2 linked regions of the Astyanax mexicanus genome follow. The protein of the gene in region 1 binds, or shares a complex with, the protein of each later gene. Links are inferred from orthologs where the notes say so. Each region holds a gene or a part of one and is shown in the gene's direction. Other genes may lie near its edges. The genes, in order: gpaa1 and pigs.

Region 1 (7,772 bases):
AAAAAGATACTTGGTTTGGTTCCACAAATTAAAGACAATTTAATTTGCTTTCACTTTGCTTTACATTTTTTTAAAAGCTGAAATAACAGTGGAATTGCACTAATCCAACACCAGCCAACTCAAGATTTTTTAATCCTGCATGTTTTTTTCCTGAACAGAACAAATCAAAAGCCCAGTAAATAGAATGAATTCTGAGAAGGACACATGTGAGCCCAGCTGTCCGTATGGCTGGGTGAAATTCAACGGACGCTGCTTCAGCTACTTTGGCCAAGCTGTGGACTGGGTCACCGCTGAGGTAATCTCTCTGATTTCTGTTTAGTTAAAAATTATTAAAGAGAGATTTAGAAATGGTATCACAGGGGCGCCGAGTGGTCCCGCGGTCTAATGCGCAGCCACTATGAGCGGGAGGTCGCAGGTTCGAACCCCCGCTCATGCAGCTTTGCCATCAGCTGCCGGTGCTTAGAGGGAGCACAATTGGCTCTGCTCCCTCTGGGGTGGGTAGATGGCGCTCTTTCCCCATCACACTTAAGGTGGCACTGGGCGGCACGAGGCGTCTGTGAGCGGATGAATCGGAACCGAGCCACTGTGCTTTCCTCCGAGCGCGCTAGCTGCTCAGGCAATGATTCATCCGCAGCAGCTCAAAAAAAGGGGTGATTGACTTCACACGTGTCGGAGGAGGCGTGTGCTCGTCCGCATCCTTCAAGGGTCACGGGCGTCACCGGTGATGGGGACGCACAAAGGGGTGGGACAATTGGGAGAAAAATGGGGAAAAATCTGAAAAAAAAAAGAAATGGTATCACAGTCTTACATATGTAGTGTCATGCTTACAGTATATTTAAGCAATAATACACTTGAGATTTGTGCTATAACATGTAATATTTGCACTGCTGTGCTGCGGACGTAGATCAGAAGAGCAGTGCCAATATTACACATTATAGCACAAACCTCAAGTGTATTATTGCGATTATACCACAGTTCCATTATCGCTGTTTATTAAAACACTGCGCAAGTAAAAATAAAATAAAAAAAAATAAAAATTCGTTGTTGCTCTGTTTGTAGCTGCGCTGTTTGGCTTGTAAGCACTGCCTCGTTGCTTGGTTACCTGTAAATGGCAGAGTAATACATGGGGAGCTTCAGTTACAGTGCATTACTGGCTGATAATGGCACTCATAGAACGCCCCTCAGCCAATCACATTGCAGGGTCAGAACTAACTGTGGTATAATATTTTATTAACATTATGTGCATTTACAGCATCTAACAAAAGTGAGTTCCCCGCTCACAGTCCTGCTCTGCAAATATTTTATTATATATTTTCATGGGGAAACACTATAAAAATAAAACTAGTATATAACTTATGCTAGTTTTATCTTTAGTTAGTGTACAGCTTGTATAGCCATATAGATTGGATGTCCTCTGTCCTCTGTATTTGGTGTTTCAAGTGTAATTTTTTCTGACTTGCCACTGGATATTCAACATCGCACCTCATGGCAAAAAAAAAAAAAAAAAAAAAAGAGAATGTAAGAAATTTAATGTTTGCTCTTCACAAAAATGGCCTAAACTGTAAGAAGATTTCAACTAAGTAAATTAAGCAACAGTTTGGTGGCCAAAGGCAGCCATCATTGCTGCAGAGGTTGAAGAAGTGGGAGGTCAGCCTGCATTGCTCTGCCCATACACCACACGCTGCATCAAATCAGAAGCAAGCTTCTTCTGAAGCTGATGCACAAGAAAGTCTGCAAACAGTTTGCTGAATACAAGCAGTTCAAGAGCATAGATTACTAGAATCATGTTCTGGAGTTTCTTAGAAGATCCTATTAAAGTGATTGAGCTGGTGTGTTGACTTTACTTACAAAATAAGTGTTTTTATGTAGAACATTTAAACATTTTTTAATTCTATTTTTTTATTCCCTTACTATCAAAAGTTACTTTACTTTTTTAAATGATGTAATTGAATGATTTTACTATTATAGATAAGAGAGCATAAACCTTTATTAATGCCAAAATGGAGACAATTCACCGTCCATTAAAAAATCTATTTTATCGTGAAAGGCCTGGCTTTGCCTGATCAGCAGTTCACGGATATTTTGTTTGGCTTTTTAGGCTTACTGTATAAATCTGGGGGGAAACCTGGCCTCGATACACAGTGAGAATGAGTATCAGGTGGTGAAGGCTCTGGTCCGTGCTTATGACCCCAGCGAGAAAGAAACATGGATTGGCCTCTCCAACTGTCAGAAGGTAAGATAATATGGATGCCGAACAAAAGTAACTACACAAAAGGCTTGTGAGGACCCTTGTAAAAGAAAAGTGCATTTAAGTATATTTTTTAAATGCATACTTAACATGCAGACCCTAGTGGGAAAAAAGTAGATTAAAGTTTACTAAGCATTATAATGCATTATTATGCATTATTATACTACAGCATAATACAGTAGTGTACTTGTGGCCACATTATTAATCGGTATATTTAAAGAGTGCTAAAATGGGACAACTTTTTTTGTACTTATTATACTTTAAATATATAAAAATAGTACAAAAGTCTTACTTAAATTGTGCTAAGTGTACCTAACTGTACTAAAACGGAACTATTTAAAATATACCTAAGTAACTTTTAAACCTCATCTTTTAAATATACTTACAGTAAAATTTTAATACATTTAATGATTATTACCACTGTATCACTATTATTATTATACACAAGGTGTATTAGAAATGTACTAAGAATTGATGTTAAATAAATTTAACATCAGGAGTGTTCAAATAGACTTCTTTTTCCTGTCTTTTGTAAGTAGCACACGTTGGGTATAACATTACATTTTAATTTACTGTACTACAATTTTTAGCGAGTAAAAAATTTACTTTAATTTTTTTACATGTAGTAATTTAATTTACTTGCTAAAATGTTACATGATACATTGTACTTTAAGTGAACTACTGTCACAGTTGTTTTTAAAACACTTCGCTAAAAATGCAAAAAAAAAATGCATTATTTGAGGTATGAAAGCTCTGTATACTTATATACATATATATATATATATATATATATATATATATACTTTATACTATATAGACTGCTGCTAAAATATATTGGGGTGCAAAATAACCTGACTAGGACAACCCTGGTGTTATATTATGTTTCCATGCTTGACTGTAAAATAGTTGCACACTGCAGACTCTAACTAAACTCTTTTATTTGCCTTCTAAAAATTAATATTGATAATAGTAAAAATAATTTTCATCAATGGAGTCTTGCAGCCATTTTAAACAAAGCCTAAACATCCCATACCCCATCTCTGAAAATATGCCTAAAATTCCTATTTAAAGGTTTTTAAAATGTTTTTAACTCCTCTTAAATTTCCACAGCAACTTATTAAGCCGTCACATTCATTTAGATTCTCTAATAAACTAAAATTATTTTTTTTTTATTTTAACAAATAACAGAAGAACAGCTGGATCTGGTCTGATGGGACAAAATTTACATACAGCAAATGGAACCCTGGTGAACCCAATCATATCAATGGGGAGTGCTGTGTAGCCATCAACTGGGGCTGTACGTTTATTCATTAAAACTTTATATTACTGCAATTAGCAAAAATCTGGAAAATCTTTTCAATGTTAATTTTTGTTTTTCTTTGTCTACAGCCACAAAGAACTGGAATGACTGTCAATGTCATATTGGGAATCCATTTGTCTGCGTGAGGAAGCTGTGAAGCCCTGTAATCCATGAACACACATCTGTTTTATATATTTTTAGATGTTTTTTTTTATCTTAACCTTTTATTCTGTTTATGTAATGCAAAATTTCTTAATCTCTGAAAACAATGTATTGTTCATTTTCTGTACACCTTTTGTAAAATATTAATAAAAACAAAACCTGATTCATTTTTGCAAAAAAGTAATGATTTACTTTGTTTCACTTTTGTTCTTGCAAGCATCACACAACAGGACACTTGCGGCAAAGGGAAAAAATTTATGTGAAATAATTTTTGGGGGAATATATTTATCTATTTTAATGAAGGAAAAGTGTAAAATACAACAAATCACTATATATGCATGCACATAGTATTTTTCTAAAATATGCAAAGCCAAGACCCAAACCTGAAATTAATAAAAATGTATTATCATGCAATTGGACAAAAGTGGAAACAATTTGTACCCTGGATTTATACAATTTTATAAAAGTATTAAGAAAAAAAAATAGAAGCTTTTTTTTTGCAGCAAATGAGAAATGTCTGAAATAACAAAAAAACATGCAGAGCTTTCATACCTCAAATAATGCAAAGAAAACATATTCATAAAGTTTTAGAAGTTCAGAAATCAATATTTGGGGAAAAAGCCCTAATTTTAAGTTTTCCTCCACCAGTCTTTCACACTGCTTTTGGATAAATGTACGTTAATCCTAGTGCAAAAATTCAATCAATTCAGTTTGGTTTGATGGCATGTGATAATTTATCTTCCTCGTTGATTATATTGCAGAGGTTTTCAATTTGGTAAAACGAAAGAAACGAATTATTTCTAAGTGGTCTAATTTTTTTCCAGAGATGTAATTAGGTAATAAAAGGGCTTTTATTTTGTATTTTTGTAGCGCGGCTCTGCTCCTCCGGTTTGCTTCCCATGATACCGGGTGAAGATGGCCGCTCCCTGCCCTGGTTTCTCTCGTTTCTGATCGTAATTTATCGCTGTTTTCCGCGCTGAGGTGAGAATCTCCTATAATATTAATACTGTTGATGTGTTAATCTGACTCTGATGATTAATAATCTGAGATTAAAGCTGCAGGGCCGCCGCAGGTTTAGTCCTAAAGCCGGTGTAAGCGGCGAGTACGGGCTGGACTCGAAGCCCTGTCTGTATTTGCGCTTTATTTTAATTTATTTACCCTCATTTAGCCTCGCGGTTCTGGGGAACTGTTGATTAGATGCGTGGAGAAAGGCCTGTAGTGGTAATTTAACCTTAGATAAGAAAACCGGGCCACGTAATTATAATACTGTGGCTTGGGTTTCTCGAATTTTCCGAACCACCTAAAATACTGCAGCACTTACAGTGCGGCTATGAGAGCGGCGTGTTCGGGCTGCCCATTTTAACCGCTGTCCTTCTTATGGTGGAACGGACAGTTTCAATAGGAAGCCAAACACCATTCATTTGCAGAGCCTAAGAGCCGACCAGCAGGCTCTAGACTCAGCAGTTCCGCAGGCTCTAGACTCAGCAGTTCCGCCGGTTCTAGACTCAGCATTTCAGCAGGCTCTAGACTCAGCATTTCAGCAGGCTCTAGACTCGGCATTTCAGCAGGTTCTAGACTCAGCAGGTTCAAAACAGTTCATCAAAATGTTATTAGGGGTGCAGGATTTTTCCATTTAATTTATTTTTTGTGCAAGAAAATATGTTGCTATTTTACATTTCAGTAAATTAAATCATTTGTATTCTTTGAAAATGTTTATTTAATTGTATCAGTAATATAATATCAGTTCTTTTTTATTATTATAAATACTATAGAAACAATTAAATACATGCAATATTGCAGATAGATAGTTAATTACATTAAACCATGGCGTGGCAGACATCATTTATTTGTAGAGCCTAAGAGCTGACCAGCAGGTTCTAGGCTTAGCAGTTCAGTAGGTTCTAGGCTCAGTAGTTCAAGTTCTAGACTCAGCAGTTTTAGACTGAGTCCCTGGACCCAGCCATCAGTTCCTAAACCCAGCTGTCAGTTCCTAAACCCAGTGGTTCCAGACCAGCAGTCATTTCGTAGACCGAGCAGTTAGTTCCTAGACCCAGCAGTTCCAGATTAGCAGTCAGTTCCTAGACCCATCTAGCAAAGCAAATGAAACATCTTGCTTAACTAGTCTAGCAGGTTCTATTAACATTGAGTAAGAGGAAAAATTAAACTTGCTAGCTTCTCTAAAACTACAGCATTTTAGGCATTGTTGCACTAACAGATCTAAGCTTGTGGAGGTTAATGAAGGCGAGGCCAGTGAAGACCATGTGGCTCTTGCTGATAGCCACCTCCTACAGAAAAGCATCAGCAGGGAGAAACAGGCCAGACTACAGAGAAAGTCCTGTCCTGTACTGCACCTGCTCACACTCACTACTCGTCTAAATGCCATTGTCACATGCAAATGATTGTATTTAGGTTCCAGTTACTTTAATTGCCACAGGTGTATAAAACCAAGCACCTAGTCATGAAAATATGGCTCGCTCTGAGGAGCTCAGTGAACTCCAGCATGGTACTATGATAGGATGTTGCCTGGTCTGCTGGTAGGCTGAAGTTTTGCTCAAAATGGGGTTTTGTGTTTAAGCAGCTTCATCCAAGCTTTAAATCCCAAACCTAATGCAGGCAGGCAGGTATTTCTTTTAGCAATATAATGTATTTATATAAAGACTTCACTATTTTTATCACTCTGCTTAATCTTCTCACTTCTCCAGAAATTGACTCGGTCTATGGCTTTCTAAAATTGTATTGTATTTTCCAAATATAAATATTTTTTTTCCTTTCCCATTTTAGCAGTTGAACACCATGGGTTTGTTATCTGACCCCAATCGACGGAAGGCCCTGACCACTCTCCTCACCCGCCTTAACACACCTATATGGTATGTCTCCAGTGTTCATTCGTAGTTAGTCAATATCCTTAGTGTTGTGTATTTGCAGTTTGCTGTTTTTCATAGATAGATATCTGCCGAGTTGTTTATATAGTGTGTTTAAATCAGTTCAGGTGGAAAATCAGGTAGAAAGCTTTGTTTGCTCTGCTTTGATTTCTGTAAATGTTCCTCTGTGTCTTCTAACTGCTCTGATCTTCTGTTTTTCCTCGGTTCACTTCTTAGCGTGGTGTGCTATTTGGCGGGCATTGCCTGGTTCATGGGCCTGGCGTTTGAACCCTTTACTCTACGAACATACATGTCTGAGAATGCCATGGGTTCTACCATGGTGGAGGAACGGTTTCCAGCAGGAGAGAGAGCCTTGGCCACTGGGAGGGAATTCGCAGGCCACAAAAGAAAGGCTGGGTAAGTGAGACCTAATTTGTCCTGAACAAGGCGTGTTCTATTTCTGGTCCGGTTCACTTTGTGTTGAGAGTTTTTGCTTGTCTGCCTTCACACACATTTTGCACCTATTACAGCTTTGACTTTTCTGGGAAGGATTTCCACAAGGTTTATGAGTGTTTTTATGGGGTTTGTTATTATTATTCCAGAAGCACATTTTTGGGTGGTAAGACACTGATGCTGGATAAGAAGACCTGGCTCAAAGATGTTGCTCTAATTTATCCAAAAAGTGTTTTATCAGGTTAATGTGCAGGCCAGTGAAGTTCTTCCACACCAAACTTCCTCATCCATATCTTTATGGACCTTGCTTTGTGCACTGGTGCTATTCTGAAGCACTAAGAGTTCCTTTCATTGGAACTAAGGGGTCGAGCCCAACTCCTGAAGTATAACCCCATGCCATCATTATCCCCCCTCTACCAAACTTTACAATTGACACAATGCAGTCAGACAAGTACAGTTTTCTCCTGGCAACCACCAAACCCAGACCTGTCAATTGGATTGCCAGATGCGTGATTAGTCACTCCAGAGAACATGTCTCCACTGCTCTAGAGTCCAGTTGGGGGTTTGCTTTACACCACTGCATCTAGCGCTTTGCGTGGTGCTTGGTGATGTAAGGCCTGGATGGAGCTGCTCGGCCGTATTCTCTACTGTTATTGATCTAATCTGAAGCTACATAAAGTTTGGAGGTGTGTAGTGATTGGTGTAGTGACTCTGCAGAAAGTTGGTGAACTCTGTGCACTATGCTCCT
Region 2 (7,753 bases), on another chromosome or scaffold:
CTCATTCTCTAATATCACTTGTCATTCTTCAGGTGCTTGCTGCCTGCTACAAGGCTCTGTCTGACCACCATGTCTACCTGGAGGGAACACTGCTGAAACCCAACATGGTGACAGCAGGACATTCCTGCCCCACCAAATACTCCAATGAGGAAATTGCCATGGCTACAGTCACTGCTCTTCGTCGTACCGTCCCTCCAGCAGTCCCAGGTAATGGATCACACTGTTTATGACCAAAGTGTTTTCAGGTAGTTAAAACTAACTTGTGTGTGTTTATATAAGAGTTGAGCTGTATTTTACCTGGAACTGCTGATGTGGTTCCTGTCTACGCAATCACATAAGTTGGCAATAGACTTCTAAGGTGCTTTCACAATGGCTCGCACTGCAGTAGGTCACAAAATGATATTCCATGATGAATACATTGTAAGGGCTGATATATTGTTCTGATAAACAGCAAACTCAAACTATATTATCAACATGCAAAAACAGAGGGAGCTCTTTACTCATGCTCATGTGTGGAAACAAGATTCGAGGTAGAGGTCCACAATGAACACACCAAGCTATCCCTTAGCCTGTGAAAAATGTGTGCAGATGAAACTGATAACCAACAGCTTTTTCACACATCACATTTTTGTCTATATTGCACAGCCCTACTGCAGCAAGTGACAGGGAAGCTCTGTTGCTATTATTGACATTTCTGTCGATGCTTTGGCTAAAGCAGGGCTAAAGCGGCTGTAGCTGAATGGATTTTTCTTTTTTTAATTTAGGAGTGACCTTCTTGTCCGGAGGACAGAGTGAAGAGGAGGCATCCATCAACCTGAACGCAATCAACAACTGCCCTCTGTCCAGGCCCTGGGCCCTCACCTTCTCCTATGGCCGCGCCCTGCAGGCTTCTGCTCTCAATGCTTGGCGTGGAGCCAGGGACAACGAGAAGGCCGCTACTGAGGAGTTTATCAAGCGTGCTGAGGTCAGTTATTCAAATATCACATGATATTCAAAACCCATTACTGCACAGAGGCATATTGATATTAGAGGTATAAATCTTACAGCAGTTTCATTAACCAAATCATTACTGTCAAGCAAAGATTTAATCTCTCATAACTAAAAGCCTGTGTCAATTTATTAATTTTTTAATAAAAATGTCCAAGTACATTTTGGCACAACTAAATTAACAAAAATTTGGTTTTATTTATTTATGTAGAGCCCAGTGCAGCATAATCTCAAATCTGTCTGTGTTCTCTTTAGATTATTTTGTTATAATTGAGAATGATTTTGAGAATGCAGCAAGAGACTGGATGTGCATATGTTTTTTTTTTTTTGTTTTTTTTTTCTCTGTAACCCTAAATCAATCAAGCTAATCAATATCTAATTAACATAATTACTTGGAAGCTGATGAAGGGAGACCGTGCCAATGAAATGTATAATTACTTGTAGCCTTGTGCTCTTCTGTTGTGATTTTCTCCATCTTACTAACAATAATATTTGTAACAAAAATATATATATATATATTTTTTTTTTCTCTCTTCCACAGGCTAATGGCCTGGCTTCTCGGGGCAAGTATGTGTCCAGTGGAACCGCTGGAGCTGCAGGACAGTCCCTGTATGTGGCCAACCACGCCTATTAAAGCATTCCCATCACCCGCCTACTCCAGCTGCCGCCGACCAATAGTATCTTTTGCCGCTGCTACCCTCCATGTCACCAACCAGTCACAGGCCTGCGCTGTTGTCTGTACTTTTTAGGATCGTCATTGCAATGTTCTACTACTAATGTTCTGTCTATTTAAAATGTGTCGAAAATGGAAAGGAGAAGATTCAAAGAAGAGATTAAGGGGGGCTTAAAAGGCTCACAGATGTTATGGGAGATGCTGAAAAATCTAATGTTATACAAACACTGGTACCAAAAGTGGTCATCGTGCTGTATTTAATAAGTAAATGGTATTGCCACTGCGGCTAGATATTAACAACTAGTTCAAGTTATATTTTTGGAAAACATTCTTTACTTTTTTTGTACAAGTGTTCAGTTCTGACACCCTTTCCCCAGCTTGTGTAGTTTTTACCACTGAGTCAGTTAAGCTCCCACATTCCCATAAAGTGCAGCTACAGCCTCTCCAGTTTGATGTGTTGTGTGGTCTCATCCATTCATGTTATGAGACATAATGCGTCTGCATTAGCACTGATCAGAATACAGTGAAAATGCTAACCAAGAACAAAACAATCAGTCTTATTCTACAATGAGGGGGTGAATCAGTGGAGAGAGTGGACCAATGGAGAGAGTGGCGGGTAGGTCAGTACACTTACGCAACGCACAGCCTCACAATGATCAACTAACACCGGACACTGAGCAGCATTTATTTAGTGTTCTATTCTCATCTATTGTAGTGATGAGTCTTTTGGGTTGTGTGCGTCTGTTTGCTTTAAATACAGAATACTAACTTAAATGGGTTGAAAGATATGGAAAATTATATGATTAAATGTGTTCTATTATTCTGTGTATTCCGCATGAGTGCTATGCTCTCTCTCCCCCCAGTGTGGTGACACGTTGGTACACTGAAGTACTATAAAGATTACCATGTAACGTAAATAACGTAATGTAAAGCATAATTCCATGGCTTAACTTTGCCGCTTGGACCAAACTTCTGCAGTTTTGTTTGGCAGAGGGAGAAAGAGCATAGTCACTGCTGGTTTGGATAAACTGTGATGTCATTGTGTTGTTGTCCTCTCAAGCACTTGGTGTGTAAGATTAGAAACAAAAACTATAAAATAAAATAATTTAAAATTCAAGACATGTCTGTTCATTTTTGAAATATACACTTTATCTGCTGTTGGAGTTTGAGAAAACACAGAGCATGTGCTTACATTATCTTATCAGGCCCAGCTTCCTACCACAGTGGATATACAAAAAGTGGATAATCCTTTAGTTTATGCTGTCTAAACTGTCTTTAACGTTATTTAAGCACAGCAGCTTCCATGTACAATGTGAAAACGTCTTTTTGTTAAATGGCTTCAATTATAAGAAAAATTCTACACTTTAATTAAAAGCCAAGACTTATTTTCTTCACCTCTTGAGTTGGCACGGTAACCGGCATGTCATGAAGTAGTGCGCACACTAACAAGCACATTCTAAACCACATCCTCTGGCACATATTAAGCAGCCATCACCACAACTCTAAACCAGCCAGCACGCTGTCTGACACATGCTACAAAACCGTTGGCACTTAATTTGACACAATCTACAGCAGCCTGCACCTCCGAAACCAGCCTGGCACACCATCCAGCACGTGGTAAATGGCTGTCGCATACTCTGGCACGTCCTAAACTAGCAGACACTGGTGCACCATCAAAACACAATCTAGGAGCATCTAGAGAGCACCATTCAACACATTTTAAGCATCCGACACAAACCTTCCAACGGCACATTTTAAGCAGTAGACACAATAACTGGTATATGGAGAGTTTTTTTTAAGCACAGTGTGCAGAAAAATATAAAGCTGAAGTACAGTAAAGAGTAAATCCTGTAAAAATGACACAATGCCAAAACTAAATCCTACTCCCACCAATAACCGAAAATCCTACTCTGGTGGTAAAACCTCCCATGTTGAGTCCAGAGTAAAATACATTTTAGGAGCCCAAGACTTGCTGTTAGAATAAAGAAGTCATTCAGACTTCTGAGATCAAAGGGGGAGTATAATTGAAATTAAACTGCTAAATATCAGGTATTCCTATGTGAACTTCTTTGTTCTAATATCGATCATTACGGTTTAAAGGCGTTCAGTTCTAAATGTTGCTTCGTTATATACAGCTAAACTAGCACTGCAAGATAGCGATGGTCATTTGAAGTGAAGCGTCGAAGCCTGCAGGTTCGAGGTTTGTATCGTTATTATAAAAATCACGTGACTGATTAAAAAACAAGGCCTCGGATTCTGTGGGACACGTGATCGTTTCATTTTGAGTGTCGCTACAGCATAAAGAGGGCTCGAGCCTTGTAGCACCTCGTGTTTTTTTTAGTTGACATAAGATCCATTTATTTACTGGAGCAAACAAAACATTCGTAAATATTTACATTTTCTTTAGCTAGGCTAGCACTGAGCTGGTTTGTGCACTTCGGGCACCTCAGTGCCATGTGAAAATGTATTCTCTAATGCTGAGTAGATTTTATTGAAGAAAAATTATCACCTCCACCCCAACACAGTTATAAAGCTTCTTTTTTTATAAGAATTAATGTTATATTTGTCCTTTTGCACATACTACTCTGATGCAGTTTATTGTGCTTAACTCCCCCAGTTCCATAAGCACTATTGTGTTCAGTGTCAGTGTACAACAACACTCAGCTATTTCCATTAAAAATACATTATTATATTAATTGAGACAGAGTGGCAAAATAATTTATTTTATACACAGATATTTAAGGATACTCTTGCTCAGGATTCATTTAATCTGTCATATAACTCTTTGAACAGCAGGTGTCACTGGTGAGAACGATTCATTGAGGCAAAACACCGGCTGCTTTAAAATGTGCTAGGTTGTGGTGGCTACAGGGTTGCCAGGTCCAAAAAAAAAATCCAGCTCAAACTCAGTCTAAAACCTTCCCTTTAAAAGCGTAAAATAACCACAACTCTGGCTGGCTGGTATATGATGTGTAGCCTGTGCTTGTTTAATGCACTGTTGAAAATCTATCGGCTACAATAGTTGTTGTTGTTTTTTACGTTATTTGTCCTTCCCGGGTACCCGTAGACTCATAACTCCGCCTCTCCTCTGCTCTGATTGGCCAGAGCGCTTTGTCAGGCCCCGGTAGTAGTTTCCTGTAGTCATGGCATCGATCGAGGCAGGCGAGTCATTTATTAATATTACTGCATTTTTTTCTGCATTAGAGGCTTTATTGAGGTTTATAACGCGGGGTATTGAGTTTGTACTGGGTGTGTTTAGTGTATGAGAATGTTTGTGTGTGCGTGTCTTTAGTAAACTGAAGCTGTAATAATTAGCTAAACACTAGTTACAGAAGCTCCCGTAGGGCTGGGTCTGCTGCTGCTGCTGCTGCTGAAGCTGAAGGGAAATCAGTGTGGGGGTTCTGGTAGCTTTGTTTATATAGTGTATGTATTATTACGCTGTGTTTCTGCTGTTTCCCGTTATTATGCGCACCTCATGTGTTCACAATTGCGCATTTTATACTCTAAAATACAGAAAAGCAGCGAGGCAAATATGCTGCCCTGGCCATCGCAGCTGTGGTCATCTTGCTGGGGATCCCTCTGTGGTGGAAGACCACCGAGACCTATCGAGCCTGGCTGCCCATCTCACAGATCAGCGAGCTCGACTCCTTACAGGTACATTCTGAGTCATTATACTATTAGATACACCTGCAATATGGGCTCAGAGTATCCATAAAACAAAATAGCCAGCTCATCATGCTACTGGACGAGCTCATTGATTTTATTTTAATTTAATTGTTTCGCTGGTATATAAGCCTTGATCAACCAGACCAAGCTAGCTAGATAATCAATATAACCAAATCTCCGTTCTGACACCCCCCCCCCTCCATTAACACAGTACTGCAACTTAGTACTGAAATCAACACAGAAATTGATTTTTTTTTCAAGAACTGACATGCACTCACACCCCATACCTGCACTACTGCTTCCACTTGCACTGTCATACCCACTTTAGTTCCCCTTACAACTGCGACATTTAAAGAACTGTATGCACTCATTCACCTTACCAGCCTTAAGCTTTTACACCTCATTTTTAATGTTCATGCATGCCCCCCCCCCCGCCAACACTATTGTACTTGTAACTTTGGGATGGAGAGTAATGTAATTTCAATCCTCTGTATGCCCTGTACATGCTATCAAGCTAGCTGGTTAGATAACCAATATAGTTACCCAAACTTGACCAAGCTAGTTGGCCAGCAAGACTGATCATGACCAGAATTAAAATCAACACAATATGCTGATTAGCATCTGGTTACCAGATAGCCTCCCAGCATGTATGGGTAGGTTTTTGTCTGGATGACCAGCTTTTCAACCACATTGACCATCAAGGACCAGCTTAGACCATCTCAGACCATCTCAAACCAGCTACCAAGCAAAAAATGGTCTTTAGCTTGACTTTCTTTGAGCTTATATAACCTCTTTAGAAAAGCATCCACAAGCCATCTGTCACCAAATATTGATTAGAGCCCTTAGACATTGGGCAGTAATACAGTGAATTTATTGTATATGAAGGATTTAAACCTTTTTATTGCTCACAAAAAAAAACTTTTCAGAAGAGTAGAAGATGTTGCTGTAGCAAAGGAAAAAGATGTTAAACTCCCTAATAATACTTGTGGTTTTTAGAAAAAATGTTGGAAAATTAGACATTTTGACACATAGATTACATTATGTCTATTTCCTACGAACCTCCATACTGGTTACTGATTATTTAGATTAAACTTTGTTTAAACCAGTTATATTAAGATTAAATTCCATGGACTCTTATAATTAAGCTATTTTTGTATTATTCTGTCAATGTCTTAAAATGGTTTATTGCAATACTTTCTGCAAAATCTTTCTGTGTATATAGCTCCAGTTAAGTGTTGAGATAGAGGTGGTCTTCTCTCGAGGAACGCTGAGCCCTGAACTGCAGTCAAAGGTTCCGCTCAGTCAGACCAGAGAGCAGGAGAATCAAGTAGATGGTAAGATGATTACGAAGTTTCTACATTTCTACAAGAAATGTCAGCAAAAATGAGCATGTTATGATCACCCCTCTTATCTTCTCTACTTCAGGAAAGACCATGCTGCGGTACAGATATGAAACCAAGTACCGCACCGCTACTATCATGGAAGAAGATGCATTGAACCAACCCAGTGCTGAAGGTTGAAAAATATTACATTGAATTGTATACACTGTTTTATCTTGTCATGTGATTAGTAATGATTAAGCATGATGATAGAAATACCTGCCTTCATGCTTTGCTTGAATTTCCTTTCTACAGAGGCAGATCTGTCCCTGCATATGCTTAGTGAGAGTGCCTGTGGGTCTGTGGTGGTGTATATCATCCCTGAAAGCTCCACCCTGCTGCCAGCGGTAAGACATGCACATACACTATTCCAATTGTTAAGGTGGGATTTAAGAAATGAGGGAACCTTTGTTCTTTAAATTATTGTGTAACAGGTTTCTCTCTGCTGTCTCTCAGGATATGAAGGTGTATGTTGGGAAGCGGCGCACTGCTCTGCTGCGTGCTGCTCCATTTGAGGGGGCTGCTGGTCTAAAGGAGGTGCTGTCTTCTCTGGAGCCTCAGGTCAAGCAAGTGGCCGATACCATGTCCTTCAGCCACCCGGACATTCTGGCTGCCCTGAGTGATCGCATCCGCATCGGCCAAGTCAGCAAGGAGAGACTGGCTGACAGCATGAGGGCCATAAAGTCCAGTCCAGGTGTGATATCTGTCCATATACAGCTCTGGAATCAGTTCTGAATCAGTTTCTCTGATTCAGCTATTTATAGGTATATATTTGAGTAAAATGAACATTGTGGTTTTATTTTATAAACTACGGACAACATTTCTCCCAAATTCCAAATAAAAATATTGTCATTTAGAGCATTTATTTGCAGAAAATGAGAATCGGCTGAAATAATCTCATATTTCAAACCTGAAATAATGCAAAGAAAACAAGCTCATATTCATAAAGTTTTAAGATTTCAGAAATCAACATTTGGTGTAATAACTCTGTTTTTTAATCACAGTTTTCATGCATCTTGGCATGTTCTCCTCCACCAGTCTTACACAC

The links.
Region 2: gpaa1 (region 1) and pigs share a complex: the UniProt entries of both Homo sapiens proteins name them as parts of the GPI-anchor transamidase complex. The link is inferred for Astyanax mexicanus from reciprocal best matches to the Homo sapiens genes GPAA1 and PIGS.

What each region holds. Positions count from the first base shown.
Region 1 is NC_064415.1:9,847,999-9,855,770, forward strand, and holds the start of gpaa1 (glycosylphosphatidylinositol anchor attachment 1 protein), read left to right. Parts: upstream 1-4,599; 5' UTR 4,600-4,691; intron 4,692-6,491; exon of another isoform or gene 6,492-6,494; 5' UTR 6,495-6,503; coding exon 6,504-6,577; intron 6,578-6,808; coding exon 6,809-6,988; intron 6,989-7,772. Other genes in the region: lymphocyte antigen 75, read left to right, coding at 159-295, 2,099-2,233, 3,437-3,545, 3,638-3,705. UniProt on the Homo sapiens protein: Component of the glycosylphosphatidylinositol-anchor (GPI-anchor) transamidase (GPI-T) complex that catalyzes the formation of the linkage between a proprotein and a GPI-anchor and participates in GPI anchored protein biosynthesis. Binds GPI-anchor.
Region 2 is NC_064424.1:13,017,379-13,025,131, reverse strand, and holds the start of pigs (GPI transamidase component PIG-S), read left to right. Parts: upstream 1-4,751; 5' UTR 4,752-4,803; coding exon 4,804-4,822; intron 4,823-5,174; coding exon 5,175-5,314; intron 5,315-6,548; coding exon 6,549-6,660; intron 6,661-6,751; coding exon 6,752-6,841; intron 6,842-6,960; coding exon 6,961-7,052; intron 7,053-7,161; coding exon 7,162-7,399; intron 7,400-7,753. Other genes in the region: aldocb (fructose-bisphosphate aldolase C-B), read left to right, coding at 33-207, 765-964, 1,529-1,621. UniProt on the Homo sapiens protein: Component of the glycosylphosphatidylinositol-anchor (GPI-anchor) transamidase (GPI-T) complex that catalyzes the formation of the linkage between a proprotein and a GPI-anchor and participates in GPI anchored protein biosynthesis.